Macaca mulatta: one gene and its partner. The protein of the gene in region 1 interacts with the protein of each later gene in a biochemical or structural test. Links are inferred from orthologs where the notes say so. Each region holds a gene or a part of one and is shown in the gene's direction. Other genes may lie near its edges. The genes, in order: H2AC20 and UBR2.

What was found.
Region 2: the proteins of H2AC20 (region 1) and UBR2 form a complex in vitro, tested with the Homo sapiens proteins (2 studies listed by BioGRID, with this or other methods). The link is inferred for Macaca mulatta from reciprocal best matches to the Homo sapiens genes H2AC20 and UBR2.

Annotation. Positions count from the first base shown.
Region 1 is NC_133406.1:117,251,989-117,266,582, reverse strand, and holds H2AC20 (histone H2A type 2-C), read left to right. Parts: upstream 1-1,255; 5' UTR 1,256-1,312; coding exon 1,313-1,702; 3' UTR 1,703-1,722; downstream 1,723-14,594. Other genes in the region: H2BC21 (histone H2B type 2-E), read right to left, coding at 598-978; H2AC21 (histone H2A type 2-B), read right to left, coding at 1,863-2,255; BOLA1 (bolA-like protein 1), read left to right, coding at 10,371-10,784. UniProt on the Homo sapiens protein: Core component of nucleosome. Nucleosomes wrap and compact DNA into chromatin, limiting DNA accessibility to the cellular machineries which require DNA as a template.
Region 2 is NC_133409.1:139,473,951-139,489,822, reverse strand, and holds part of UBR2 (E3 ubiquitin-protein ligase UBR2), read left to right. Parts: intron 1-566; coding exon 567-615; intron 616-1,036; coding exon 1,037-1,191; intron 1,192-4,170; coding exon 4,171-4,273; intron 4,274-6,576; coding exon 6,577-6,686; intron 6,687-6,794; coding exon 6,795-6,875; intron 6,876-7,198; coding exon 7,199-7,377; intron 7,378-8,478; coding exon 8,479-8,678; intron 8,679-11,015; coding exon 11,016-11,109; intron 11,110-12,069; coding exon 12,070-12,231; intron 12,232-12,974; exon of another isoform or gene 12,975-13,081; intron 13,082-14,239; coding exon 14,240-14,343; intron 14,344-14,997; coding exon 14,998-15,076; intron 15,077-15,872. UniProt on the Homo sapiens protein: E3 ubiquitin-protein ligase which is a component of the N-end rule pathway.

The DNA of each region.
Region 1 (14,594 bases):
CCCAATCAGGAAAAGGCTGGGACCCGGCTGCGCGGGCTTCGTCCAAAATACACAGAACGGCTGGTATCCACAGGAGACCCCATCGCACAGCAGAACTGGTGACCGGACACAAAAGGTGCTGCCAAGCGTCAGTCATACACAGCTGTCACGCAGTGTTTGCGGAACCTGGGCTGAATCGTGCCCTGGAGTTCTCTTAAATAACAGCCGAACTCAGCCACTTCGTTTTAGAATGAAACAGACCCAAGAAGCCACCAGGGCGCCAGTATGGGGCGGGAGTGGGGGCGGGTAAAGAGGCGGATTCCCAACATCCTAATTGAGAACCGACTCCTGGGAATGCTAAGCAGCACAATGAGTGAAGACACGCTCTAGATTCAAAAGCAAATCCAATCATGCACCGGGGACCTCAAGTTCCAAATGGTTAAAAACCTACGTGTGGCATTTCCCATGACCTTTACGCTAAAATTACTTTATGAGAAGAAACTAAGGGAGTAAGTGAACAAGCTCTTTTCTAGTGATTAGGTGGGTGGCTCTGAAAAGAGCCTTTGGAGTCAAGCAGCCGGCGACTCGAGCGAGCGAGCGCCAGGTCCCGGCAGGGACTCACTTGGAGCTGGTGTACTTGGTGACTGCCTTGGTGCCCTCGGACACGGCGTGCTTGGCCAGCTCGCCGGGCAGCAGCAGGCGCACGGCCGTCTGGATCTCGCGGGACGTGATGGTGGAGCGCTTGTTGTAGTGCGCCAGGCGGGACGCCTCTCCCGCGATGCGCTCGAAAATGTCGTTGACGAAGGAGTTCATGATGCCCATGGCCTTGGACGAGATGCCGGTGTCGGGGTGGACCTGCTTCAGCACCTTGTACACGTAGATGGAGTAGCTCTCCTTGCGGCTGCGCTTGCGCTTCTTGCCGTCTTTCTTCTGGGCTTTGGTGACGGCTTTCTTGGAGCCCTTTTTAGGAGCCGGAGCGGATTTTGCCGGTTCAGGCATGGTAAGACACAGTACAAACGCGGCTTAGCCAAGAAAAGAAGTAAGAGAATGGGCGGGCCTGATTCTTTTATAACCACCTTATGCAAATTAGGGCTCCGAAAGTCATTCATTTCCATTGGTCCGTGTGCGGACCTTGCGTTTTCAGCAATGCGTACGCAACAACACCGACTCTTGACTTGATTGGCCGGTTCTGAAGCCATATTAGGACCAATGAAAAACTCGTTCTAGACCCCACCCCTAGGAAAGCTTATAAAGGCTTTCCTCTTGGTTCTCTTTCAAGCTTATTTTGTAGCGAGGTTCTGAGCATTGTCTGTGTTTAACCTTGGTTTCAGTCATGTCTGGTCGTGGCAAACAAGGAGGCAAGGCTCGCGCCAAGGCCAAGTCGCGCTCGTCCCGCGCTGGCCTCCAGTTCCCGGTAGGGCGAGTGCACCGCTTGCTGCGCAAAGGCAACTACGCGGAGCGGGTGGGGGCTGGCGCGCCAGTCTACATGGCGGCGGTCCTCGAGTACCTGACCGCCGAGATCCTGGAGCTGGCGGGCAACGCAGCTCGGGACAACAAGAAGACGCGCATCATCCCTCGTCACCTCCAGCTGGCCATCCGCAACGACGAGGAACTGAACAAGCTGCTGGGCAAAGTCACCATCGCCCAGGGCGGCGTTTTGCCTAACATCCAGGCCGTTCTGTTACCAAAGAAAACTGAAAGCCACAAAGCCAAAAGCAAATAAATGCAGACAAACAAACCAAAGACCAAAGGCTCTTTTTAGAGCCACCCAAGTTTTCAAAAAAAGAGCTAATGCGCTATTTCGTGATCAGCCCTTCATTTGACACTTTGGTGGCTCTTAAAAGAGCCTTTGGGGTGAATGAGTATGGTGTCAAGCCTCTTAATTACTTGTTCTTGCCAGGCTTGTGACTCTCCGTTTTCTTGGGCAACAGGACAGCCTGGATATTGGGTAAGACGCCGCCCTGGGCAATGGTGACACCCCCGAGTAACTTGTTGAGCTCTTCGTCATTCCTCACGGCTAGTTGCAGATGGCGAGGGATGATGCGCGTCTTCTTGTTGTCCCGAGCCGCGTTGCCTGCTAGCTCCAGAATTTCCGCGGTCAGGTACTCGAGGACCGCCGCCAGGTACACCGGGGCGCCTGCCCCCACCCGTTCCGCGTAGTTGCCCTTGCGCAGCAAGCGGTGCACTCGCCCCACCGGGAACTGGAGGCCAGCGCGGGACGAGCGCGACTTGGCCTTAGCGCGGGCCTTGCCTCCCTGCTTTCCGCGTCCTGACATTACGGCTAAAATTGCAGTTACAGCTTCTTTTACAAGGAGAAGAATGTGGAAAGAATAACCAATTTGATGTAATTTATAAGAGCTACCGGGAGGGGTGAAGGGAAGTCGTTTGATTGGCTAAAAGCGGAGCCGTATCCAACAGCCAATAGAAAAACAGAAAGCCGCCTCTTGGTTTGCATCCTGCCCTGAAAGGAAATGACGGATTTCGTAAGTATCTACCAATCGCTGAGAGCCACATTAAAGCCCCTTATTTGCATGGCAGGATCTTTAAAGAAAGTAGGCTTTCAAACAAAATGTCTTGTACTATGGGGTTTTGCTTTGCTTTGTTTAGTTTACAGCCGGTAAATCCCAACATGGACCCTAAGAAACTGCAGAAGACATCCGTAGACTGAGAGTTACTCTCACGCAAGAGTAGGGGATTCTGAAGCCAATGATCCCCTTGAGCTCTAAACTACTAAGTTCCGCCCTTTCTGTCTCGTCACAGCCAAATTCCCTTTAAAAATACAAGTACTACTAAGGCTGCCTCCTTTCTCGCCCCTCAACTTAAGTCGCCCGCAGCGACTCCGCCCCACCCCCACCCGCCTGCACTCCTTGGAATTCAGTTTGACCGAGGCTAGATCTGTCATCTTCTTGACCTCCAGGAGGCGGCCTTGAAGCTTACTCCCTTGGCTTTCAAAATGTCGCCCTGCGTTTTTCTTCTTAGCTCGCCGACTTTTCTTATCCTGCTTCCCCATGCCATCTCTAAATCTGCGAGTCCAGCTGGATTCTGCTTCTCTATCTCCAATTCTTCACTTATCCCGAAGAGTCTTACCCATTTATATGCTTTCAACTAACATCCAAATTTGTTTCAGAAGCTCAGACCCTTGTGCCTAACTGCTTACTGAATACTTCAACCTACTACTTGTCCCAACGAGCACCTCAAACTCAAACTCAACCTCAGCCTATTCGAACGCGAACTCCTGCAAACAACCTCCCCTCTTTGCCCTCTTCCTGAAATGCGCCAGCATACTTACAGATAACTAAGCCGAAATCTACTCTACTCTTCCCTTTGTCTCAGCATGTCCAGTCAGTTGCTTCCTTAATATCCCTTCAATCTTTTTCTCCACGCTCCCTTGTCCACCTCATCATCATCCCTTAGATTTCAGCAACAGCCGGGAAAGGGTAACTTTGCTGTCAGGCATTAATTGCTGGTGTGACTCCAGCGGCCTTAGAAATCTTTCCTGAAAGCTCTTCTTTTTTTCTTTTATCCCATATAACAGATGAACCTGAAAGCTCTTGTGTTTCTTCCTCCTCAACGTCCCATCTCTGGGAGTTCTACATCTCCTACACCATTCTCACCCTTTCCTTAGTATCCCTTAAGGTCAGGTAGAATAATAGAGAGAAAAAATAGACTTGTGGTTTTTTTGGTTTTTTGAGGCGGAGTTTCGCTCTGTCGCCCAGGCTGGAGCACTTCTCAGCTCACTGCCACCTCCACCACCACCTCCTCTACCCCGCCCCCACCCACCCGGGTTCAAGCGATCCTCCCACCTCAGCCTCCCAAGTAGCTGGGATTACAGACGCCCACCACCATGCCCGGCTAATTTTTGTATTTTTAGTAGAGATGGGGTTTCATCTCTACTAATGTTGACCAGGCTAATCTCGAACTCCTGATCTCAAATCTCGAATGTTGGCCAGGCTGGTCTCAAACTCCAACCTTATGATCTGCCCACCTCAACCTCCCAAAGTTCTGGGATTACAGGCGTGAGCCACTGCACCCGGCCAGAAAATACTTAAATCTTATTATTTGACACCTTTTCTGATGTTTCCTCCTTTATTCTCACCAGTTTATTCAACTGGCATTTATTGGATGTGTGCTGTTGGGCAATGGGTGTATAGATAATTGAAAGTAGTACAAACAAGTCTGTGATGAAATGCCTCCAGAAAATGGAGGAAATCTGGTGAACTCTGAGAGTTAAATTAGTTAAAATCAGCTACGTCTAGAGATTACTCCTGGTAAGAATGCTGGTATAGATTTGGGGAACACCAAAGTTCAGACAGAGGTGACCAGGGTGTAACCTAAGATCCTTCTAATCCAATTGATTATATCATTTGAGAAGATGAATGTTAACAGAAAGGTGCAGTCTACATAGAGTCCAAACAGGTGGCAATTGTAGTAGAAATATGTTTTCACCAACAATAAAATATATCTGGCAGAGGCAAAGTTTGGCCTACTAGAAAAGGGTCCTTGGTTATGAAAGCATCAGCCTTTTCTCACAGCCTGGGTGAAATATTTCTGAAGACTATCCAAGTTCCTTCATTCAGATTCTGTGCTCAATTAACAACTTTCTGATTGTTCTATTCCAAGATAAACACATAAGACTGAAGTAGGGGGAGCCAGTTATAGAAAGATGTTCATCATAGAATTCAATGAATTTGCATTTTGGACTATTCATAAATTTCGTGTAGTTTGTTAGCATGGGTCCCTCCCCAAGAAGCCAGTCAGTCCTGGAAGTTCTAATAGTGTCAACTTTTCAGACCTAAAGGGCAGAGAAAAAAACCCAGATGATAGGGGACCCTACCATAATCCTGGCACCCCATAAGGCCCTGCTTGAGGGGCATGCTGACCTTCCTTTCTTTCTCTGACCTCCTCTTTTTTTTTTTTTTTTTCCAGACAGAGTCTCACTCTGTCACCCAGGCTGGAGTGCAGTGGCAGAATCTCAGCTCACTGCAACCTCTGCTTCTTGTGTTTAAGTGATTCTCATGCCTCAGCCGACAAATAGCTGAGATTACAGGCATGCGCCAGCACATCCAGCTAATTTTTGTATTTTCAGTAGAAACAGGGTTTTGCCATGTTGTCCAGGCTGGCCTCGAACTCCCAAAGTGCTGGGATGACAGGTGTGAGCCACTGCGCCTGGACTTGACCTCTGATTTCTTTTTTACTTATATCACAGTGTTCTGTGCCATAAGAAGGGTGAAAGAAAAAAAAAGATTATGTTGAAACCCTACTATGATAAACCCTACAGTAGCAACTGCCTACAAAGTAGATAAAATTATGTGTTTCACAAATAAACTGAAGCTCACAGGGATTAAAACAATTGCTGGGCTGAGTGTGGTGGCTCACGCCTGTAATCCCAGCACTTTGGGAGACCAAGGCAGATGGCTTTTACCCAGGAGTTTGAGACCAGCCTGGGCAACATGGCGAAACCCTATCTCTACAAAAAATACAAAAATTAACTGAGTGTGGTGGGGCACACACCTGTGACCTGTGGTCTCAGCTACTTGGGAGGCTGAGGTTGGAGGATTACTTGAGCCCAGAAGGCACAGGTTGCAGTGAGCCGAAACAGCGCCACTGCACTCCAGCCTGGGCGACACAGCAAGACTCTATCTCAAAAAAAAAAAAAAAAAATTGCTGAAGGTCACACAGCCACATGATTAGAATCTAGGTCTGCCTGACTCAAAGAACATGCTCCTCACGATGTCTAGATGTTGGGCTTAATGAAGTCATTTAATTTATCCAGCCATTGTTTCTTCCTCTGTACAAAAAAAGGAAGAAAGAATTATTAGAGGAGAACTTCCCTACTCCCACACAAATATCCTTGCTGTGCCCACATCTCTTTGTTCATATCCTGGTGACAGCACTCACCATTCGGTACTGTGCTTTTTTTTTTTTTTTTTTTTTTGAGATGGAGTTTCGCTCTGTCGCCTAGACTGGAGTGCAATGGCACGATCTCCGCCCACTGCAGCCTCTGCCTCCCAGGTTCAAGAGATTCTCCTGCCTCAGTCTCCCAAGTAGCTGGGATTACAGGAATGTGCCACCATACCTGGCTAATTTTTGTATTTTTAGTAGAAGTGGGGTTTCACTGGATTTGCAAACTGCAAGGTCCTAACCAAAGTAAGTCCTATAGATGCCATCTTTGTAGCAGCTTTCTAATCAATTTACTTCTCTCTAGCCCATCTTGTGCCTTCACTCAGGTTATCTTTCACCCAGACTACCAACAAAGACTTTTCTGCTCCTCTCCCTGCTTCTACTCTTCCCACTCCTCACTAGAGTGGCCTTTCTAATAAACATTCTGATTCTTTTCTCACCATCTACTCTCTCCCCAGGTGATCACATACCACACCTCAGCCCCACCCTCATGATCTCATTTTATCTTCAACAACCCCTAAGAGATGTCTCAAACATACTTCTCAGATGCTAAAATTAGTGGGAAAAAAAATAATGGAGAAATAGGAAAGTAGATAGACTTAAAGTATCTTCCACAATTACAGACAGAAAAGGAATTTTATAGTGGAAAAGCCTGACAGATACCATCTTAATCAAATGATCAGAATTATCACTAGTAATAAGAAAAATAAAGATCACGTGCCCTGGTAAGTTTCACAGAGAAGAATTCAACATTACTTCTGCAGTATTCTGGCCAAAAAATGCATGTGCTAAATTTTAATCATAAAGAAACATCAGACAAACCCAGATTGAGGGACATTCTACAAAATAAATGTCTGTAACTTCAAAACTGCCAAAGTCATGAAAGACAAAATCTAGGAAACTATTCCAAGTTAATGGAGAACAAAGAGATATAACAACTGAATGCAACATGTGATCCTAGATTGGATCCTGGACCAGAAAATATTTCTTTTCATTTTATATATAGGATAGAAGTGAACAATTGGCAAATTTTGAATAAGGTCTGTAGATTAGATAATAGTACTGTATCTATGTTAATTTCTAGAGTCTGACAGTTATATTCTGGTTATGTGAGAAAATGTCTTTTTTTTTTTTAAGTAAATATACATTAGGATTCTCCAGGGAAACAGAACCAATAGTAGATAGATTGATAGATTGACAGATAGTTTTATTATAAAAAATTGGCTTTTTGATTATGGAAGCTAATAAATCCCAAGATCCCCGAGATCTTCAGGGTAAGCTGGCAAGCTGGAGACCCAAGAAAGGTGCTGATATAGTTCCAGTCCAAATCCAAAGGCCTGAGAACCAATGGTGTAGTTCCAGTCCAAAGGCCGAGTCTAAGACCCAGATGGAGCCAGTGTTTACTTCTGAGTCTGAAGGCTGGGAAAAGCCAACGTCCCGGTCTCAAAGCAGTCAGGCAGAAGGAAGTCTCTCTTACTCAAGAGAGGGTCCTTCTTTTTGTTCTAGTCAAGTTTTCAACTGGTTGGATGGGACCCACCTACATTAGGGAGGGCAATTTACTCCGTCTACCAATTCAAATGTTAATTTCATTCAAAATACCCTCACAGAAACACCCAAATTTTGCCAAATATCTGAGCACCAATCCTCTAGAAGTTGGCACATTAACCATCACAGGCCAGGCGTAGTGGCTCACGCTTGTAATCCCAGCACTTTAGGAGGCTGAGGTGGGCAGATCACCTGAGGTCGGGAGTTCGAGACCACCCTGGCCAACATGGTGAAACCCCCTCTCCACTAAAAACACAAAAATTAGCCAGGCGCCATGGTCCACACCTGTGATCCCATCACTTTGGGAGGCTGAGGCAGGCGGATCACTTGAGGTCAGGAGTTCCAGACCAGCCTGGCCAACATAGTGAAACCCCATCTCTACTAGAAATACAAAAAAATTTAGCCGAGTGTGGTGGCACCCACCTGTAGTCCCAGCTACTCAGGAGGCTGAGGCAGGAGAATCACTTGAACCCAGAAAGTGGAGGTTGCAGTAGGCCAAGATGGCGCCACTGCACTCCAGTCTGGGTGACAGAGTGAGATTCCATTAAAAAAAAAAAAAGAATTTTGGGCCAGGCACAGTGGCTCACGCCTGTAATCCCGGTAATCCTGGGTGGCCGAGGAGAGCGGATCACCTGAGGTTGGAGTTCCAGACCAGCCTGATCAACATGGAGAAACCCCGTCTCTACTAAAAATACAAAATTAGCTGGGCATGGTGGCACATGTCTGTAATCCCAGTTACTCAGGACACTGAGGCAGGAGACTTGCTTGAACCCAGGAGGCAGAGGTTGCAGTGAGCCGAGATCATGCCATTGCACTCCAGCCTGGGCAACAAAAGCAAAACTCCGTCTCAAAAAAAAAAAAAAAAAAGAATTTTGCACCTAACTCAAGTGAGTCAGCAGAAATAATTATTATTATTTCGTTATTATTATACACACATACATTAAAAGAGAGATACAAAGACAAGTCTGGCAAAATGTTATCAGTGAATCTAGGTGAATAGTGGATAAATGGGTTGCTCATTCTATTAATCTTGCAACTTTTCTGGAAGTTTTAAATTTTTTTTAAAGGCTAGGGAAAACAGTGTATGTCATAGGTTAAATTTCTTGAGTGTGATAAGGATATTGTGGTTATGTGGTAGAATATCTTTGTTCTTAGGAGATACATGTTGGAGTAGTTAGGAGTGAAATGTCATGCTACCTGCAAGTTATTTTCAAATTGTTCATCCAAAAAAGTACATAAATATATTTTAAAGTATATGTAAAGTACTTAAATATATGAGTATATATGTACAAGTATAAAATAAATATAAATGTAAAAAATGGTGGGCCAAGTGAAAGATAGAGGGTGTTGCTTTGAACTATTCAACTTTTCTATGGCTTTGACGTTTTTCAAAATGAGAAGTTGGGGAAAAACATTTAGAAATATGTAAATATATTAAGGATACAAAATAAAATTTAAATAAATTTAAAAGTTAAGAATCGCCAAGTGTGGTGGCTCACGCCTGTAATCCCAGCTCTCAAGGAGGCAGAGTCAGGAGGATAGTTTGAGCCCAGAAGTTCAAGACCTGCCTAGGCAATATAGCGAGACCCCATTCTCCACAAAAAGGAAGTAAAAACAAAGACAAAAATATATATATAAGCGTAAAAGTTAAGAATCATCCTGGAAAAATTACATCCTGTTACATCCCTGTTTAAAACCTCAGTAGCTTCCCACTACTTCTAGGATAAAGACAAAATTGCCTAACAAGGGCTACAAGGCCTGGGGAGGTCTGGGCCCTTCCTCTCCTCCCGGTACCCTACTCATCATCATCTGCCCCGTAGGCTCCAACCACACATAACCACACCCTAACTACACCAGAAAGACTCCCTCAAAATTCTCTCTCCTCTTGTCCTTTACACATGTGGCTACCACAGCCAAAACCTCACTATGAGGGACTGAGAAATGGATTTTCATGTTGTTTCCGCCAAACTGTTTCCCTAAATCTCGGAAATATTCTCTGCCCGCCCGTCATTCCACCTCTCCAACCCCGGCCAAGTCTGGGTAACTTGCCTCCGTAGCATCCTGTGTTTATCTCATCGTAGCACTTAGTACCCAGTACTGCAATTGTCCGCTCACTTGTTAGTCTTCAGTGCTGTGTAAACTCCTTGAAGACAGGGTCTGACTTGACTCTCCAGTCCCCAGCACTAGTCTGAGGCACAGTAATTATGTATTCAATCAGACTTCCATTTTCTTGTATATAAAATAAAGGAATTGGGCTGGATGATCTACAATATCTATTGGCAGTAAAATAGATCTAATAATCCCAACCCCAGCTGCGCGTGAAATCCCTTTTTCTTCGCGTTGCTGGGTTGAGAGTTTCCGACGACCTTACCGGTGGGGAGAATCCAAGACTACAGTTCCCACGAGCCCTTAGGGCTCCACGTGGTGCCTGCCCCTCCTACTAACGCACAGCAAGGACTCCATTTCCCAGCGTGCCTCAGGAAGGGCGCCAGGACTGCATTTTGCTCGGCAGCGTCTAGAGTCCTGGCCTTGAGCGGGAGTCGCAATATCCGAGGCTGAGCGGCAGGTAAAAGGGGCTTCTCCTGGGCTTTACAGGGATCACAGGGGCTTCGGCCCAACCACAAGTACGCAGTTGCACATGCCCTACATTTGCCCATTCTTTGCAAATCCCGTAAGGAACGAACGCGCCTCGCTTGCGGGCCTTTCTAATCTCCGCTTGTCCCTCCACTCCCACAGCTGGAGGTCGAATTCACCGTGTCACGTAGAGAAAAGGCGGTGTCTCGAGTCTCCCTGTGTGGCGTTGAGGCGGTCTCCCGACAGGAGCTGGTGTGGACACCTGGGCGTGGGGTTAGAGCAGATGCGGGGGTCGCGGGGCGGGTGTTGATACTGTGCTCTCACCAGGCGGATCATCTCGACCCTCACTCCTCGTGTCTCTGGCGTAGCCGATGCTGAGTGGTCGCCTGGTCCCAGGTCTGGTCTCCATGGCTGGCCGGGTCTGTTTGTCCCGGGGCAGCGCGGGATCCGGGGCCATCGGTCCAGTGGAGGCCGCCATTCGCACGAAGCTGGAGCAGGCCCTGAGCCCCGAGGTGCTGGAGCTTCGCAACGAGAGCAGTGGCCACGCGGTCCCGCCTGGCAGTGAGACGCACTTCCGCGTGGCCGTGGTGAGCTCTCGTTTCGAGGGACTAAGCCCCCTACAACGACACCGGCTGGTCCACGCAGCACTGGCCGAGGAGCTGGCAGGGCCGGTCCATGCACTGGCCATCCAGGCACGGACCCCCGCCCAGTGGAGAGAGAACTCTCAGCTGGACACTAGCCCCCCATGCCTGGGTGGGAACAAGAAAGCTCTAGGAACCCCTTAAGCCCCAAGAGAGGGGCAGGACCAGGATCCGAATGGGCTGAGTGAGCACGAACTACTGAGGCCTTCCCTTCGATATAGTCCAGGATTTGAAAGGGATGAAGACCCCTGAGCTCTATTCTACTGGGGTCCATACATATTCTCCGAAGATAGCAACTTGCTTCAGGTCAAAGTGAACCCAAGAAAAGAGAAGAATCACTCACTACTGCTCTTGCCCTGGACTATTCAGGAAGGGCAGCCCGGATGTTCCATGTTAAATCGTGACAGAACTGCACCAAACCTGATGAGTTGGAAACAATCCTATACATTAAAAGAAATTACACTATGAGGCTGTGTTCTTAATGGACTGCTGAATCAGTGCCACAGGTGTTCTTGGGAGAAGAAAGATACCTGTAGACTAGTCGGGAACGGCTTTATGAGGGAAGTGATCTACTTGGGTCTTTAAAGGAAAGCACAAAATTAACCAGAAAGGAGAGGATAGGTGCTGCAGGCAGAGAGAAGAACCTGAGCAAAGGCATAGACACTGGACTGAGCAGTGAGTTAATGGACAAGACAGGCGATATAGGCAGGGACACATTTGAACTTCATCTCAGGGGAATGTTTGCCTTTTTTACAGCCTGTCCATTTCCAAAAAGTAGTACTTGTATTTGTTTAAAAGAAAAATGTTTTTAAAAACCACTAAAGCAGTGAAAAGAGAATAAGAACTAAGAAAATTATTAGAGATGATGGAGAAACCTTTATATAGCCCCCCTTTTTTTTTTTTTTTTGAGACGGAGTTTCGCTCTTGTCGCCCAGGCTGCAGTGCAGTGGCGCAATCTCGGCTCACTGCAACCTCTGCCTCCTGGGTTCAAGTGATTCTCCTACCTCAGCCTCCCCAGTAGCTGGGATGACAGGCATGCACCACCACGTCCAGCAATTTTTTGTATTTTTAGTAGAGATGGGGTTTCACCATGTTGACCAGGATGGTCTCAAACTTCTGACCTCAGGTGATCCTCCTGCCTCAGCCTCCCAAGGTGTTGGGATTACAGGTGTGAGCCACCACCCCTAGTGTTTTTTTGTTTGTTTCTTTAAGACAGAGTCTCTGTTGCCCAAGCTGGAGTGCAGTGGCACAATCACAACTCACTGCAACCTCCACCTCCCAGGTTTAAGCAATTCTCCTGCCTTAGCCTCCCAAGTAGCTGGGACTAGAGGCTTGTGCCACCACACCCGTCTAATTTTTTGTATTTTAGTAGAGACAGGGTTCACCATGTTGCCCAGGCTGGTCTTAGACTCCTGAGCTCAGGCACTCTGCCCACCGCCTCCCAAGGTGCTAGGATTACAGGTGTAAGCCACCATGCCCCACAATGTAGCCCTTTTTGAGCATTACAAATGTTGTCATATTTCTGAGGGGAGCTCAAGTAATGTCTATAGAAGCAACTTTCTAATAATCTCAATGTGGAAATTATTAGAGAACAAAACTTGGTTAACATATATCTTTTTTTTTTTTTTTTTTTTTTTTTTAGACAGTTTTGCTCTTGTTGCCCAGGCTGGAGTGCAATGGCCTGATCTCAGCTCACTGCAACCTCCGTCTCCCAGGTTCAAGCAATTCTCCTGTCTCAGCCTCCTGACTAGCTGGGATTACAGGTGCCTGCCACCATGCCCGGCTAATTTTTGTATTTTTAGTGAAGACAAGGTTTCATCATATTGGTCAGGCTGGTCTCAAACTCCTGACCTCAAGCGATCCGCCTGCGTCAACCTCCCAAAGTGCTGGGATTACAGGCATGAGCCACCACGCCCGGCCCGGTTAACATATATCTTGATCATTTCTAGCTAAAGAATTTAAGGTGCATGTGGTTGGGCAGTAGGGAGTTATTAACGAATTTTGAGTACAGACATGCCAGAGAGCATTTGGGGTCAGATGGATCTGGCAGTGATGTGTAAGTGAGTTGGCATGGGAGATTGGAGGAAAAGAGATCAATCCAGAGTGAAGGTAGAACCCTGATTTACAGGTCATCTGTGGGAATGGAAAGGAAGGAGTTGATTTGAGAGCTACCATAAAATCAGAAAATGGTTTGATTAGAACAGAAATGGACTAGAGTGAGAGGGGAGTCAAGGTAACCCCAAGGCAGTAGTTTTCAGATTTTCTTTTAGGTAAGAACTCCCATGGAGATTGTTTAAAATGTAGCTTCCGGCCAGTCGTGGTGGCTCACACTTGTAATCCCAGCACTTTGGGAGGCCGTGGTGGGCGGATCACCTGAGGTCAGGAGTTCGAGACCATCCTGGCCCCATATCTACAAAAATTAGCCGGGTGTGGTGGCAGGCGCCAACCACACTTAGGAAGCTGAGGCAGGAGAATCGCTTGAACCCGAGAGGCAGAGGTTGCAGTGAGCTGAGATCACACCATTGCACTCCAGCCTGAGCAACAAAGCGAGACTCTGTCTCAAAAAAAGGAGATTCAAGGTCCCCATCCTTCCAAACCAAGAAAAAAAAAGGGTTCTGATTCAACAAGTCAAGAGTGGAGTCTGGAGTGTGTATTTTTAAAAAGCATAACAGAAGATTTAGGGGAAAGTTGGTTCTATTCTTATGAAATGTTACTCCCAAAGTTTTCAAATCTGGGAGACTTAGAGGGCCTTCCATCGGTAGGGGAAAGATCAAGGTAGAGAGGCCAATTTAGGAAATAAAGCTGGTACACCATGTTATTCTGACCTTCAGTTTGGAAAGCTGTTTTTCCATCTCACCATTTTACCCTCCAAGGCTGTTAGGAGAATTGGATGTAGGTGGAGAGTCACAGAAGCAGGTATAGCCATTTTGTATTTTGAGGATTTGTTTCTGTTTTATTTTTCATCAATATTTTTCATTGCATTTTTCACATCAACAGAGTTGGGTTTGGGGTTCCCCAGGAGAGCAAGGGAGATGGATGGGTCCCTCCCAGGGGTGCAAGGAAGAGGGCTACGTCCAGCATGTGAGGAGTGAGGGACAAGGGCACAGGGCATACATTCATACACTGGGCACTGGAGGAGAAGGCAGTCTTTTGAGCACAGACACCAAAGAGTTAAACAGTCACCACCTGGTACAGTGTTACAAAATGGGGGGAGTGACCACAGGGTTGGGGTACCGGACGCAGCATGACGAAGGTGAATTTTGATTTTCTTTTTTGTTATTTTCACTTTTTTCCTTTTTAACTTTTTTTAAACATTTTACAAACATCTAAAAACTACAACACATCACAGCTACAGTGGGGTGAGGGGAGGGCACCAAAGAAAGCAGCCACACAGAGTAGGGTGGGACGGGGCAGCCTAACCTACAGAGGCTATTGTGTGGAAGGGTAAAATGGGGAAACTGAGGCTTCTAGTCCCTGCGTTAGGGGTCCCTCACTCACTGCTCAACCTCTCCCCACTCAGAGGAGCTGCCAGGAGGGCCCCTGCTTCTTGCCTCTGCCCCAGCTCCTTGTGCTTTTTGATCTGCTGGTTTGACCAGATGCCTGGTTTCTTTCCCTCCCCTGCTCCCCTGCCTGTGAGGGGACAGGTCGGGGGTATGGGAGGGCAGCTGTGCTGTTCCCACCTGTGCTGTAGTGGGTGGAGCCTCTCACTCCAGAGGAGGCCTGTGCTTCTTAAGGAGGGAAGCAGATGAGCCTTGTCAGATGCCCTCAGATCTCCCGAGACTGTGGGTCTCTTATCCCTGGCTGGCCTAGGGCTCCTCCATCCCAGGCTCAACACAGAAACCAGATTAGGGGAGGGACTATGGGAGGCAGGGTTGTGTGTGCGTCCGCTGAAATTAACCCTTGGCTTATATTTGAGGACAGTATAGTGATACCCCCCGCCCCATGGCACATGCA
Region 2 (15,872 bases), on another chromosome or scaffold:
TACTAAAAATACAAAAATTAGCCGGACTTGGTGGCGGGTGCCTGTAAATCTCAACTTCTATGGAGGCTGAGGCAGGGAGAATTGCTTGAACCGGAAGGTGGAGGTTGCAGTGAGCTGAGATCATGCCACTGTACTTCAGCCTGGGTAACAGAGTGAGACTTAAGTCTCAAAAAAAAAAAAAAAGGGGCCAGGCGCGGTGGCTCACACCTGTAATCCCAGCACTTTGGGAGGCCAAGGTGGGCAGATCACAAGGTCAAGAGTTCAAGACCAGCCTGACCAACATAGTGGAACCCCGTCTCTACTAAAAATATAAAAATTAGCCAGGTATGGTGGTGGGCACCTGTAGTCCCAGTTACTTGGGAGGCTGAGGCAGGAGAATCTCTTGAACCTGGGAGTCGGAGATTTCAGTGAGCCGAGATCGTGCCACTGCACTGCAGCCTGGGTGACACAGCGAGACTCTCAAAGAAAAAAAAGAAAATAATACAACAAAGATGGACTTATGTCACTAGTTTTGGATATGTTTTATATGACTAATTCCCTGCCCAAATAACTTTATCTTTTATTAGGCAGAAGAAGCTCAACGGAAAATGAAAAGACAAAATAGAGAAGATACAGGTATTTTTAATCTTTCCAAAAATGTCATGCCCCTTTTTTACATGTTAAACATTGTTTTCTATTAACTATGATGATTGTCCTTGGTGGAATGAATATTTAAATGTAAGCTTTCCTAGTGAACAACCTCCTATTCAAAGGAATAATAAATATGCTAACATAGAAATAGTTTGTACTAAGTCTCCTCTGGTTTGATTTTATCTCAGATCTTAAAACCTTCCTAGGGGAAAAGACAGACTTTCTTTTGTACTGCTGCTACTTATGTGGCTCATTTTACAGATTTGACCTTGAGAACGTAAAATAATAGCTTTAAGGTGTGCGTTAATGAATATTTTTGAGTTAAAACTATCAAAAGTAACAAAGGGATAGTTTCTAAAGCATGTTCTGTAAAAGAAACCGATAGTAATAACAACTGTATTTTCAGCACTCCCACCTCCGGTGTTGCCTCCATTCTGCCCTCTGTTTGCAAGCCTGGTTAACATTTTGCAGTCAGATGTCATGCTGTGCATCATGGGAACAATTCTGCAATGGGCTGTGGAACATAATGGATATGCCTGGTCAGAGTCCATGCTGCAAAGGGTAGGTTTGAAGACATTTATTATTTATATTTTAGTATTTTATAGTACAAGCAAAATATTCTTGTCTGTATCTATACAGAGGAAAATGAGGCCGAAACATACTGTGTTTTCCTAACTTGAATATAGTGTTACTGCTTTTGTGTCTGACAGTGAAAACAAGTGCCAGACAGATTTTTTATACCACATGGTTGTTATTACCTCAGTCCCACTGGGCAGTCATTCTCTCCTTGATTGGTCCTGGTCTTTATATATGTAGTGCTCTGATATTGATGTAATGTGTTATCTTTTATATATGTTTCTAATCTAATTATTTTCCAAAACAAAAATTTTTTTTTGAATCATCCATATCCTTATTTTGTAGTTGAAGAAACTGGCACTCATAGACTTATGGTCCTTTAGCTAGTTACGTGGCAAGTCTGGAACCTTTTTTGTGTTATTTTTGTTTTTGTGTTTTTGAGACAGGATCTGGCTCTGTCACCCAGGAAGCTGGAGTGCAGTGATGCGATCTTGGCTCACTGCAACCTCTGCCTCCTGGGTTCAAGCGATCCCTCCACCTCAGTATCCCAAGTAGCTGGGATTACAGGCATGCATCACAACACTTGGCTAATTTTTGTATTTTTGGTAGAGACAAAGTTTTGCCATGTTCCCCAGGCTGGTCTTGAACTCCTAGACTCAAGCAATCCTCCCCCCTCGACCTCCCCAAGTATTGGGATTACATGCGTGAGCCCACCATGCCTGGCCCCTTGTTTGTATTTTACTTTATAGTTTTAATGTAAGTCATTTTTACATTATCTCATTGAATTCACACAACACCCCATGAATAGATATCACTTTCTTCTCATCGTTAGATGAGGAAGCCAAGTTTCAGTGAGGTTCCATTTACTTCCCATATAACTCTACTAAGTGATATAACAATTATTCATTAAATAGAATGTCTACTTTATGCCTTATTCCATGCTAAGCACTTTTTTTTTTTTTTTTTTTTTTTGGAGACAGTTTTGCTCTTGTCACCCAGGCTGGAGTACAATGGCGTGATCTTGGCTCACTGCAACCTCTGCCTCCGGGGTTCAAGCAATTCTCCTGCCTCAGCCTCCTGAGTAGTTGGGATTACAGGTGCCTGTCACCACACCCAGCTAATTTTTTGTATTTTTAGTAGAGACAGGGTTTCACCATGTTGGCCAAGCTAGTCTCGAACTCCCAACATCAGGTGATCCACTCACCTCGGCCTTCCAAAGTGCTAGGGTTACAGACGTGAGCACCATGCCCGGCCATGCTAAGCACTCTGCATACAGCATTTGTAATCCTCAGAACTCTAGAGGGAAACTTTTTTTCCAGTGTTAAAGATGATGACATGGGCTCAGAAACATTCCCTGAGGGTTTATATTAATAGCTTGAAAGCAGTAAAACCAGGATTCGAATTCAAATTTTGGAGCCTTCCTCAGAAGGCTTAGTAGCTATCATTCTTTCTTTTTGTCTCACTGGCTAAGATGTGTGTATTCTTATAATGCCCTCCTATTTATAAGCCTATTTAAAGTGTAAAAGCATGGAGCTGTGGTATACTAGCTCATTACTAGTACAGCTGTACTAGCTGTCGTGTACTGTCAGCATTACATGAACAAAAGATTTGTGGGAAATAATGGAGAAGAGAGGTGTGAACAATATTTACCTTACGTGTACATTTGCTTTATGTCACCTAGTTCTTCCAAGTCTCTGACAACCACAGTCTTCCCTTGTGGAGGGAAAGATACAGAGACATCACACACATATCTCCTTTAAAAACTGGGGTGTGGGCCCGGCGCAGTGGCTCACCCCTATAATCCTAACACTTTGGGAGGCCGAGGCAGGTGGATCACTTGGGGTTGGGAGTTCAAGACCAGCCTGTACAACATGGTGAAACCTCGTCTCTACTAAAAATACAAAAATTAGCCAATCATCATGGCACATGCCTGTAATCCCAGCTACTCAGGAGGGCTCAGGAGAATCCCTTGAAACTGGGAGGCGGAGGTTGCAGTGAGCCGATATTGTGCCACTGCACTCCATCCTGGGCAACAAGGGAAACTCTGTCTCAAAAAACACAGAAAAACTTGGGCATGGGGTAATAGCAGTAAAAAAACAAATAGGTTAATACACTCTCTTAGAAGTCTGATGGAGAATATTTTGTGAGATACATTGAAGGACTCTAAAGTTTATAAATGATAAGGCATTAGAGATAAAAAGTTTGTCTTTCTCAGATGATGATTTAGTCCTTAGAGAAATTAAACTATATAGTGTCATAGACTGAATAATTACATAGGGGATACTTTTAGCTTTGTACTTACTTGACCACTGATTCTTGGAAGGTTTTTTTAAGTCTGTAGTATAGGTATAGAATAAAACTTACATATTATGTGAATTGCTGGTCACAGGTGGTGGTAATTTTAGCTTACCCTAAGAATTTGCGATTGAAATTTCTTCCTCATTGAAGTAGAAAATTTTGTTTTTCTTGCCAATTATTGTTTAATAGAAAATGAACCTCAGTCTTTTCATTTAATAAAAATTAGTACTTCAAGGCCAGGCATGGTGGCTCACACCTTTAATCCCAGCACTTTGGGAGGCCACGATGGGTGGATCACTTGAGGTCAGGAGTTCGAGACCAGCCTGGCCAACATGGTGAAACCCCATCTGTACTAAAAGTACAAAAATTAGCTGGGCATGGTGGCACACGCTTGTAATCCCAGCTACTGGGGAGGCTGAGGGAGGAGAATCGCTTGAACCCAGGAGGCAGAGGTTGCAGTGAGCCTGGGTTGACAGAGCAAAACTCCATCTCAAAAAAAAAAAAAAAAAAAAATTAGTACTTCAAATTGTTTTTAATTGCATTTAGTACTTAATAGTTTGATTTATCTTTTTCAATAATTCTTTTTTGCTATTTCTTATTAAAATATGTGCTTGGTTTTTTTGGTTTTTTTAATTGTTACTAAAAGTTACAAAACATTTATTCAAGGTGTTACATTTAATTGGAATGGCACTACAAGAAGAAAAACAACATTTAGAGAATGTCACAGAAGAGCATGTAGTAACATTTACCTTCACTCAGAAGATATCAAGTATGTATATATCTTTTTACTAAACTAACTCGATATAAATGATTTTAAGAAATCACTTAATAACCTCTCTTATTTGGTCATATGGATTCTAAAAGGGTAACATTTAATCTAAATGTTTGAGGCTATATGTACTCATCTGTGTAGTAAAGGTACTATATTAAACCCTGTTATATTTTTATAAAAATATCTAGGGCTAAGTTCAAAGTTACAGTCAGCTGTGGTTGACATAAGATTCTATAGTATTGAAAACAAATAAAAATTATAGGGGATTAGATTGTCATTTCATATAAAGAAATGTGACTTTTTGAAAGAAGGCCAGGGAGTTTTTCTAGCTTTTTATTTTAAAGATTTCAAACATATAGACAAGTGGAAAGAATTGTCCAGTAAACATTCATATACCTACTACCTAGATTTAGTAGTTTGCTATATTTGCTTTTATATTTACGTACTTTCTTGAACCTTTTGTTGTAGACATAATATTTCACGTCTCAAAGAAAAGCTTTTCATTTACTAATTTTCATAACCAGCCATTGGCCTGATAGTTACCTGCAATTGTGGCAACTTTGAATGTTTTTTGTTTAGAGTTTTTTAAAATATTATTCATTTTACTTATTCAGTGTTTTATAGTCACTTATAATGATTATTCCTTTTGATGCTCAAATCATGCCCACTTTGATCAGTGGGAGTTTATTTAGTCAGTTTCTGTGTCCTTTTCACCCAGCCCCATTTGGGCCAGAAAGTACCACCTCACTTTCTGGCCCAAAAGATGCCCAAGCTCATCTTATACTTTCCCTGCCACAGACCGGTAGTCAGCTATTTGCTGAGGTGTTTTTAAATGAATTTATGGTGCTATGATAGGAGTTTATAAATGCTTTGATTAAAAAGGATTATTTCTGTAAATGTGTTCAGTGCCATTTCTTCCTAAATGATAACTGTGAGAATTATGCTACCAGGGGACAGGGAGGAGTAATTTTGTTTGCTTCTAGATCTCTAGTTTTCCTTTTTGCTCTCATCCAAGTAAATGAGAGAAAGAGGAGAAACCACCTTTCCCCACTGAACACTTTATTCATGGATGCCAGTTTTTACCTATTCTTTTTCTCTACCGTATTGTTTCTATGGATTAATACTGTGGTTTTTGCTTTCTTTGTTTCTGGTGTGTTTATTTTAGGATAACCACACAGAATACTCCCTAATTTCATTCACTCATCACTATAAAATATTAGGTTCTTGGCCAGGCACGATGGCTCATGCTTGTAATCCCAGCACTTTGGGAGACCGAGGTGGGTGAATCACCTGAGGTCAGGAGTTCGAGACCAACCTGGCCAACATGACGAAACCTGTCTCTACCAAAAATACAAAAATTATCCGGGCATGGTGGTGGGCACCTGTAATCCCAGCTACTCGGGAGACTGAGGCAGGAGAATCGCTTGAACCCAGGATGTGGAGGTCGCAGTGGGCTGAGATCACACCACTGCACTCCAGCCTGGGCAACAGAGTAAGACTCTGTCTCAAAAATATATATATATATATATATTAGGTTCTCTCTTACTTTCTCTTTCCTTTTTATTAAACGATCATCATTTTCCCTCAACATTACTCTTAATTTGTCTTTAGACATTTTACATAATTAAGACACACGATTTATTTGCAAAGAAACCTCTCCCTTATCTAGAGTCACATCCCTAATGCACGCCACAGAGTTTTAGATGTGATAGAATATTAAAGATCACAAAGGTCAATCTCTTCCCTCTTAGGAAAAAGGCACATTTTTCCAGAATGGCAGCACCAAAATCAAGAAAATCGATAATTGAACATTTCTGACTACAGACTAATAGAAAATATGGACTTAACTCTTATATTCAAATAAACAGTGAATTCCTAGGGGAAGAAATTCATTTTATTCTGAATCTAGTTTTTATTAAAGGCAATGGTCAGAGCAAATAAACGTATTTGTACATATGTGCACCTCTTAATGCTAGTTTATTTTTAGACCTGTAAAATCTCAAGTACACCAGTTATTTTTAGCTGAATTTATATATAATTTTGCTAAAATACATTTTAGCAAATTCGTTTGCTATTAAAAGTCACTTTTGAATGCTTAAAGAATTCTAGTTGTTGGCAGCTTGTTTGTAAAAGGCACATATGTCACATTCTCAAGAAGTATTGAAAATCTCTTTGGTAGAGTCATAATCAAATTATGGGCAATAGGTGTTATAAGCAACTGCATTTATGTTCCTGTGCATAGGAATAAGTACTATGAAGTGTTAGCTGTTGTTATTGTGCCTTTTATTTTTCTGACATAGAACCTGGTGAAGCGCCAAAAAACTCTCCTAGCATACTAGCTATGCTGGAAACACTACAAAATGCTCCCTACCTAGAAGTCCACAAAGACATGATTCGGTGGATATTGAAGGTAAAATTTCCTACATTCTTCTGCTTTTTGTGAGAAATATTAAATATTTGTTACGTGTACATTGTGATGATATTTCATACAGGATACTGATACTTTTTTTTTTTGTAGACTTTTAATGCTGTTAAAAAGATGAGGGAGAGTTCACCTACCAGTCCCGTGACAGAGACAGAAGGAACCATAATGGAAGAGGTATAAACAGTAAAGTGTGATAATGCTAAAAAATTATAACAAGTTCAGTATGAACAAATTAAATTTATCTACAGTAAGTTGCCAGTTACAACATTGAAATTCCAACAAATATGCCACTATTTGTCTCTATTTGTTGTAGCAATTTTTTGTCTGCTTTTTTCCTTTAAAACATGTTAGGTCAACTTAAGAGTCTTTTCTCTTGTTTAAATAAGTGAGATTGTAGAATAGTTTTTAATTGGTATTTACAATAAAGATATTTCTGCTTTGGAAAAAAATGTGTGTTTTAGCATCTAATGGTCTAATTGAATGGAGCATAATTTCAGAGTTCAAGGGACAAAGACAAAGCTGAGAGGAAGAGAAAAGCAGAGATTGCCAGACTGCGCAGAGAAAAGATCATGGCTCAGATGTCTGAAATGCAGCGGCATTTTATTGATGAAAACAAAGAACTCTTTCAGCAGACATTAGAACTGGATGCCTCAACCTCTGCTGTTCTTGATAATAGGTATTAAAAAAAATTAATTTGTTGACCAGTTGTTCCCAACTAGGGGCAGTGTTGCTTTTTTTCCTTGTAAGTATATTTTTAAACCTAAAGTAATTTATTAGAATTCGTAGGTAAATTTTGTGACCTCCATTTAGAAGATTTAATCTTAGAAATCTCTGAATATAGATATGGTAATATAGTAGGGTATTTTCTGCAGAAGATCTTGGACATTCATGAAAGAATGAGTACACTACACTCAGTTATCTAGAGTGTGTGACATCTGTGTTGCAGATTAGATTGCTGTGAGAATTAAAGGAGATGGTTTTGATACATACCAAAGACTTGACAATCCAAGTTATCAAAACCATGTGTTAAATATATACATGCCTGGCCAGACACGGTGGTTCACACCTGTAATCCCAGCACTTTGGGAGGCCGAGGCGGGCAGATCACAAGGTCAGGAGTTTGAGACCAGCCTGACCAACATGGTGAAACCCTGTCTTTACTAAAAATACAAAAAAAAAAAAATTAGCCGGGCGTGGTGGTGTGCACCTATAATCTCAGCTAGTCAGTAGGCTGAGGCAGGAGAATCGCTTGAACCTGGGAGGTGGAGGTTGCAGTGAGCTGAGATCATGCCACTGCACTCCTGCCTAAGCAACAGAGCAAGACTCCATCTCAAAAAAATAAATAAATAATAAAAGTGGGCCGGGCACAGTGGCTCATGCCTGTAATCCCAGCACTCTGGGAGGCCGAGGCAGGCAGATCACGAGGTCAGGAGATCAAGACCATCCTGGCTGACACAGTGAAACCCTGTCTCTACTAAAAAATACAAAAAATTAGCTGGGCATGGTGGCGGGCACCTGTAGTCCCAGCTACTCCGGAGGCTGAGGCAAGAGAATGGCGTGAACCCGGGAGGCGGAGCTTGCAGTGAGCCGATATCGCACCATTGCACTCCAGCCTGGGTGACAGAGCGAGACTCCGTCTCAAAAAGAAAAAAATAAAATTTAAAAAATATATAGATATATATGTATATGCACACATACATACCTGTAGTCTGCTATTTTATGATTATGTAGAAAGTTTTTGGGATCGTTAATTATATTCATAACCTTTGTATTGCAGCCCTGTGGTTTCAGATATGACACTTACAGCGCTGGGCCCCACACAAACTCAGGTTCCTGAACAAAGACAATTCGTTACATGTATATTGTGTCAAGAGGAGCAAGAAGTTAAAGTGGAAAGCAGGGCAATGGTCTTGGCAGCATTTGTTCAGAGATCAACTGTATTATCAAAAAACAGAAGTAAATTTATTCAAGATCCAGGTAAGTCATAGCTAGATCCTCATCTTCCCGATTAATAACAACTACCAGTTAATGTGGTTGATGATACATTGAGATTTTTTAAATCTAAGAATGACTCCATAGACTTGGATGGTATCTTTGGCAGGTAACTTAGGCAGGAATTCCCCACTTGGCAGATGTGGAACCACTCCAGAAAGTTACATCTGAATCATATAGCTGATAAATAGCAGGGATTCAAAGTAAAGCTTTTCTTTGTGATGTAACATTACATACTTTGGCATTTCACAGTCTTTCCCATGCTTCAGTACACTTGCAAAGCCTTGGTCATTTGTTGACACACTGAAATAATAATTGCTTTGTCTTATTGATAGAGCCTGAGTGGAATCTCCTGAGAACAGTGATAGAGAGTTACCTATGTAAGAGGCAATCCTTGAGCCAAATTCTGACTTAGAATAGTGATACCACCACAGATCGGGTTCCCCAGAAAGCAGATTCTTGAGATACAGATTACTGTGCAGGACAGTTGAGGGCCCTCTTTCAGCAACTGAGGAAGTAAAGCAGGGAGATCCAGTCTGTACATGATTTTGTCCACTGACACATTTATTTCTCTGCTTGTAGGTTGTGCTCTGTGTGCATATGCTTGAGTGATACACAGTAAACTTCTTGAGAATAGGAACTGTGTCTTGGAAATTCCCAGAGCACTTCTTTAGCCCATGCCTTTCACACTGCAGTGTGAAAGGAGGTTTGAGAGCCACTTTTAGAGTTGCCTTCTCTCTTTAAAGAAAGTCTTTGTATCCTATTTACTAAAGATTGGTCTGCTTCATCTTTTAAAATGGTAATTTGGGCTGGGCATGGTGGCTCATGCCTGTAATCCCAGCACTTTGGGAGGCCAAGGCAGGTGGATCATCTGAGGTCAGGAGTTCGAGACCAGCCTGGCCAACATGGTGAAACCCCGTCTCTACTAATAGTACAAAAATATTAGCTGAATGTGGTGGCGCGCACCTGTAGTCCCAGCTACTCAAGAGGCTGAGGCTCGAGAATTGCTTGAACCTAGGAGGTGGAGGTTGCAGTGAGCTGAGATTGCACCACTGCCCTCCAGCCTGGGCGACGGAGCAAGACCCTGTCTTTTTTTTTTTTTTTTTTTTAAAGGCCAGGTGCAGTGGCTCACGCCTGTAATCCCAGCACTCTGGGAGGCTGAGGCGGGCAGATCACGAGGTCAGGAGGTCAAGACCATCCTGGCTAACATAGTGAAACCCCATCTCTACTAAAAAATATGAAAAAAAATTAGCCGGGCATGGTGGCAGGCACCTGTAGTCCCAGCTACTCGGGAGGCTGAGGCAGGAGAATGGCGTGAACCCGGGAGGAGGAGCTTGCAGTGAGCCAAGATGGCACCACTGCACTCCAGCCTGGGCGACAGAGCGAGACTCTGCCAAAAAAAAAAAGAAATAGCCATTTAAACTTGGTGCTTTATAAATTTCATTCCAGGCCAAAGACAGAGTTGTTAATTTTATTTAATTTGTTACTTCTTGAAGAAAAAGCATTAGCTGGCTCTAAGTGGATTTTCTTAATGCTTTGACATTTGCACTGTTCTAGTGTTAAAGCAAATTAAAACTATTAAAGCAAATTAAAAATAATTCTTTCTAGAGTGTTAGGAAATTTCTAAGATTATACTAATTTATATAAAGAATTCAAAAAATTCCAAAAGAAGCCAGACATCCATCTTGTTTTTCTTGATTTTTCATCCCATTTGAATATAAAAATTAGCACCAGGACACCAGGACAGAAGACTCTGAATTACTTTTTTTTTTCCCCATCTGATCTGGTCTATGCTTAGATTTTTTGTTGTCACTTCGGCTCTGATGTGATTATTTGCTGTATGAATGTCGTTAAGCAGTCTGTCCTCTAGTGGGCGCCCCATTACTGCCAAAACATTTTTTATTAGCGATCATTGTAACCCAGCTGTCCTGAACGCACGTAAGGCAGCCCAGGGAAGAGAGTAGCTCTTTTACCTGGAGTTCAGGGTACAATGGGAGGAATTGGAATACCTCAGTACCCTGAAAGTGTGAAATGTTCAAAAGATTGGATATATTTAAATTCATCGTTCTAATTTCAGTTTACAATTTGAGAATGTTTAATTAATTTGCTGTGGATGGTGAAAATTAGAGTCCTACTTTCTGAATAATCCAAAGTCTTGCATAAATTATTGGTATCTCAAAAGGAATAAACTAGCATTTCATTTCAAATTTACAAGTCTTTATCAAAGATTTTACAATTTAAAGTTGCACATTTGTTATAGGAAAATTAAATGCTTCACTTTTTTGTTTTGTTTTTTGTTTTTGTTTTTGTTTTGTAATGCAGAAAAATATGATCCATTATTCATGCATCCTGATCTGTCTTGTGGAACACACACTAGTAGCTGTGGGCACATTATGCATGCCCATTGTTGGCAAAGGTAATGTATATGCTTAATATTTTCAAGAGAAGTTTAAGGGCTCAAAATTTTTAACGTAGAGGAAATTTTATTCTAGAAAAAAGGAAAAGAACTAAAAATGTTGAAGAAAAAAAATCTATATTTTTGCCTAATAACAAAAGTTATTTGCCTTGTCATAGATGTAAAGTATGTCAGATATATTTTTTAATTTAGCTTTATATCCAAGTCTCTTCTTTATCTTCCAAAGAAGGAAGTGGATCTGTGTCAGTCTGTGGATGAAGAAAAGGGTTTTTACAGTAGGATAAACCCTAGAAGGGTAATGTTGTCTTTCTTTGGGTCCAGGGTGGACAACTCTTGATTCCATAGATGTTAATATTTGCTTTGTTACTTCCCAAAATTTTACTGGCTCCCTGTGATAAGATGAGATGTCCTGAATTTGTTCTACCTTGGTGTTTTCTATGCTTCTGCAAAACCAACAAATCAATATTATTCTAGAACTATGCTCACCCAGTTATTATGAACTACCCCTAACAACTAGCCACCACGTTGTAGTCCCAGCTACTTGGGAGGCTGAGACAGGAGAATTGCTTGAATGTGGGAAGTGGAGGTTGCCGTGCACCAAGATCGTGCAACTGCACTCCCACCTGGGTGACAGAGCGACACTCCATCTCAAAAAAACAAACAAATAGCCACCAGCCTTGGGGAAGTGGCAAGAGAACAGTGGCACCAAGAAATTTTTGTTGCTGCTTTGTAAATGCTTTTTTACATGGCAGTCTTTTTTTTTATTTTCCTGTTTTAGAACCTTTAATCCATTTGGATTTTTAAAATCACTCAAAAATCATGTTAAAAATAATTTAAAGTTTTAAGATTTTTCATTTTTGAACTATTTGTGGAAACAAATTATTTAAAATGTTGAAGCTTGTGGCTGTCATTTATATAAATTACCATTGTTTTGATACCTCATGTTCTCTAATTGTAAAGGTATTTTGATTCCGTTCAAGCTAAAGAACAGCGAAGGCAACAGAGATTACGCTTACATACAAGCTATGATGTAGAAAATGGAGAATTCCTTTGCCCCCTTTGTGAATGCTTGAGTAATACTGTTATTCCTCTGCTGCTTCCTCCAAGAAATATTTTTAACAAGTAAGTTTTGGCTCATGACAACTCATAACAAAGCCGTAGTTTGCTTTGAAGATAATGAAATAATAAATCAGGGAGGAAGACTTAACGTAGGCAGTTGCATAGTGTTTTCCAGATACTTTCCAAACTCTGGTCATTTTCTTCTAGCAGACCTGTGGAATATCATTTTAGTTTTTAGAGAGGAGCAGGTGAAAATTTAAGTTTCTAAGCTATAAAATTCCTGTGTATTTATGAAAACCAAGTATCTGGTTTATTTCTAACGACCCTACTTTTAATATCTTCCATGCACTTTTCAAGAGATGCTCAGTAAACTGGTAGGGGGAGATGGAACAACTCAAACTGACTTTATAGGACAGTCTGAAAATCGTATAAAACTTTTTGCAATGTACTAGCCATTCATAGTTTCAAGAACCAGGCAAAAAAGTGAAAATCTATTGCTATATTTTAAATGGAAAAATCTCAGCTGGGCATTGTGGCTCACATCTATAATCCTAGCACTCTGGGAGGCCAAGGTGGGAGGATCATTTGAGCCCAGGAGTTCAAGACCATCCTTGGCAACATAATGAGACCCTGTCTGTACAAAAAATAAAAAGTTAGCTGGATGTAGTGGCATATGCCTATAGTCCCAGCTACTTGGGAGACTCAGGTGGGAGGCTCACTTGGGTCAAGGCTGCAGTGAGCTTTGATCATGCCGTTGCACTTCAGCCTGAGTGACAGAGCAGAACCCAGTCTCAAAAATAAAATAAGTGCTTGCTTCAGTAGCACATACGCTAAAATTGGAACGATAAAGAGAAGATTAGCATGGCTCTTTCACAAGGATGACACACAAATTTTTGAAGTGTTCCATATTTTTAGCTCTTTTAGAATTTGTCTAGCAGACGAAAAAAAATAAAGAAAATGGAAAATTTCTGTAACTTCATAATTTTTTGGATGCTTTTAGTTATGAGTATTGGACATACTCATTTCAAGCATGAATTTGATAATGTCTGCTATTCAAATCTGAACTTCATTTCTCAATGTAGAATTATGCTGCCTACCTTGCATGCACAAATATTAAGTTATGTGAGTATAAATGATCCATTTCTGTGTTACTTGGATTCAGTTCAAAGCAAAGTCAGTTTTTTCTTGTCAGTTTTAGGAGTTCAAACTTTGGTGTCTTAGTCTATGCTACCACAAAATGTTCTTAAAATATTAGTAGATTTGGGTGTAAGCTCATGCTTTTTAATTATAGAAGAATATCATGGTACTTATCTGCATTTGAACTGATAAAGAAATTAATTATTGTTAGATTGAGGATTAACTGTGTATAAGAAGAAATCACTCTTGTTGGATTTCACCTGTCACTTTATTGGTCCACTTTTTGGGTTTTGCCCATGAGATTCAATTATGGTTTAGTCATATTCGAATATAATCATAAAAATACACAGGCTTTGGAATCTTACAGAGCCAAATTTGAATGCTAGCTTTGTCCTTTATTCGGCCTTAGTCAAGTTACATAGCTCTAAACCTCAGTTTCCTCATCTGTAAAATGGGGATAATAATAAAACCTATTACAAAATGTAGTAATACAACCTATACAAATAATACAATATAGGGATACAACCTATGCAATAATACTACAACCTGAAACAAAATATAGGGATATTTTGAGGATTAAGTCTAATACCATAAGATATTTACAGTAAAATGCTTCACTAAATGCTTGTAACATAATAAGCACTTGGTAGATATTAATAGTGATGGTGATTATGATACTTAAGAAATTCTAGCAAATTCCAGTACTGAAGAGTGAGATTTTTAATACACAGTGTTATTACCATCATATTGACAAATAATATATTCATTTCCATTGGCCAATATCCTAATTTTTTTAATGCAACGAATTTTCCCTTATCTTTTTTGTTTTTAATATTTGGAGTGTGTCTAAAATATGCCTGTGATCATTTAAGGAGTCTTTTGTATCTTAAGGAACAATAATAAAACACTAAATACTCTCTATAATCTTTTCTAGCAGGTTAAATTTTTCAGACCAACCAAATCTGACTCAGTGGATTAGAACAATATCTCAGCAAATAAAAGCATTACAGTTTCTTAGGAAAGAAGAAAGTACTCCTAGTAAGTTCCGGTAACCTGTTTTCATTTTTCCCTAAAGTCCGAGGTCATCAGAAAATGTATTTCCAGAAGAAATTGTTTAAAAGTGAAACCTCCCACTTAAAATTTTGACTCATTCTAATTTTCATTGTCTTAATAAACTAAATTTGACTTTACTGCATTACTCCTAATTCCTTAAACACACAAGCTCATGTGAAGTTTATAACAAACACTTCTCACTTATTCCCCCATTTTATTGAAGAGCTTCTGGAGGTGGGGGAGATGTAACTGAGTGTTGCAGAGCTAGCTTCAGTTCTTGGTGGGCTAACTCACCTTACTGTTGGCATTACCAAAGGCTTCCCAAGTTTCATAGACCATGCACTGCACTTATGACCTTGTGGGAACGTAGTATGAACAGAATTTATATCATTGGTTTTCATAGAAACAGAATAGCTACTCTTGTTTTCATTTTAGTGGCTGTACTGTAAGGAAAAGCATAGATAAGAAAGGGCCTTGGTCAACTAGAGCAATAGTGTTTTCATGCTTCATATGGTTGTTATGCCAGTTTTTATTAGGGAATTTTTTTCCTGTTGTTTTTAATTTCTTTGACCTATATGGCTATACTTTTAGGAATATTGTCATGTATTGAATAATGGTATAAAATGCCTGTTTCCATAGATAATGGGTCTACAAAGAATTCAGAAAATATGGATGAGTTACAGCTCCCTGAAGGGTTCAGGCCTGATTTTCATCCTAAGTGAGTATATTATTTTACTCCTTTAAAATTTGACCCATTTGAAATGATGATTAAATCAGCAGTTAGGAGGAATATGATTTGGCAAGCAAGGGAGCAAAATGTTATAGGATACTGATCTTTAGTTCTAAAGTTTAAGCAGAGGCTGAGGCAGGAGGTGTGAGCCCAGGAGGTAGAGGCTGCAGTGAGCCTTCATTGTGCCACTGCACTCCAGTCTGGGTGACAGAGTGAGACCCTGTCTCAAAACAACAAAAAAACTTTTAAGCATTACATGATTGTATTTATTGCAGTACATTAAAAAAATCTAAGAATGATGTGGCGTGGTTAATTCTCACCACCCTCTCCTAGTCAGCATTGCTGACCCCCTCCATACCCCTTTCTTTACCTGGCTCTCCTTGACGACATCTAATCAGTAATTCTAAACACAAACTGCTAAGCTTCCCCGAAGGATCCCGCACTTCTGTCTGACTTCAGAATTTCTATGAATGACCTAACCAAGCTTTTGGCAACCCAGGATTAAAACCAGAATATTTTCCACCCTACTTTACCCCATAGCCAGTTAGTTACAAGGTATAGCATAGATTCTGGAGCTAGACTGGTTGATTCAGTTCCCAGCACCACCACTTTTTAGCTGTGCAACTTTGAGCAAATTGCTTGACCTCGCTGTACCTCAGTTCCCTCATCTGTTAAGTGAGGATAATTCATAGTTCTTATTAGGATAAAGTGACATAATGTACATAGAGCTACCTGAAAGCTATGCCTGGCACGTACCAAGTAACTCAATAAATACAGACCTAGA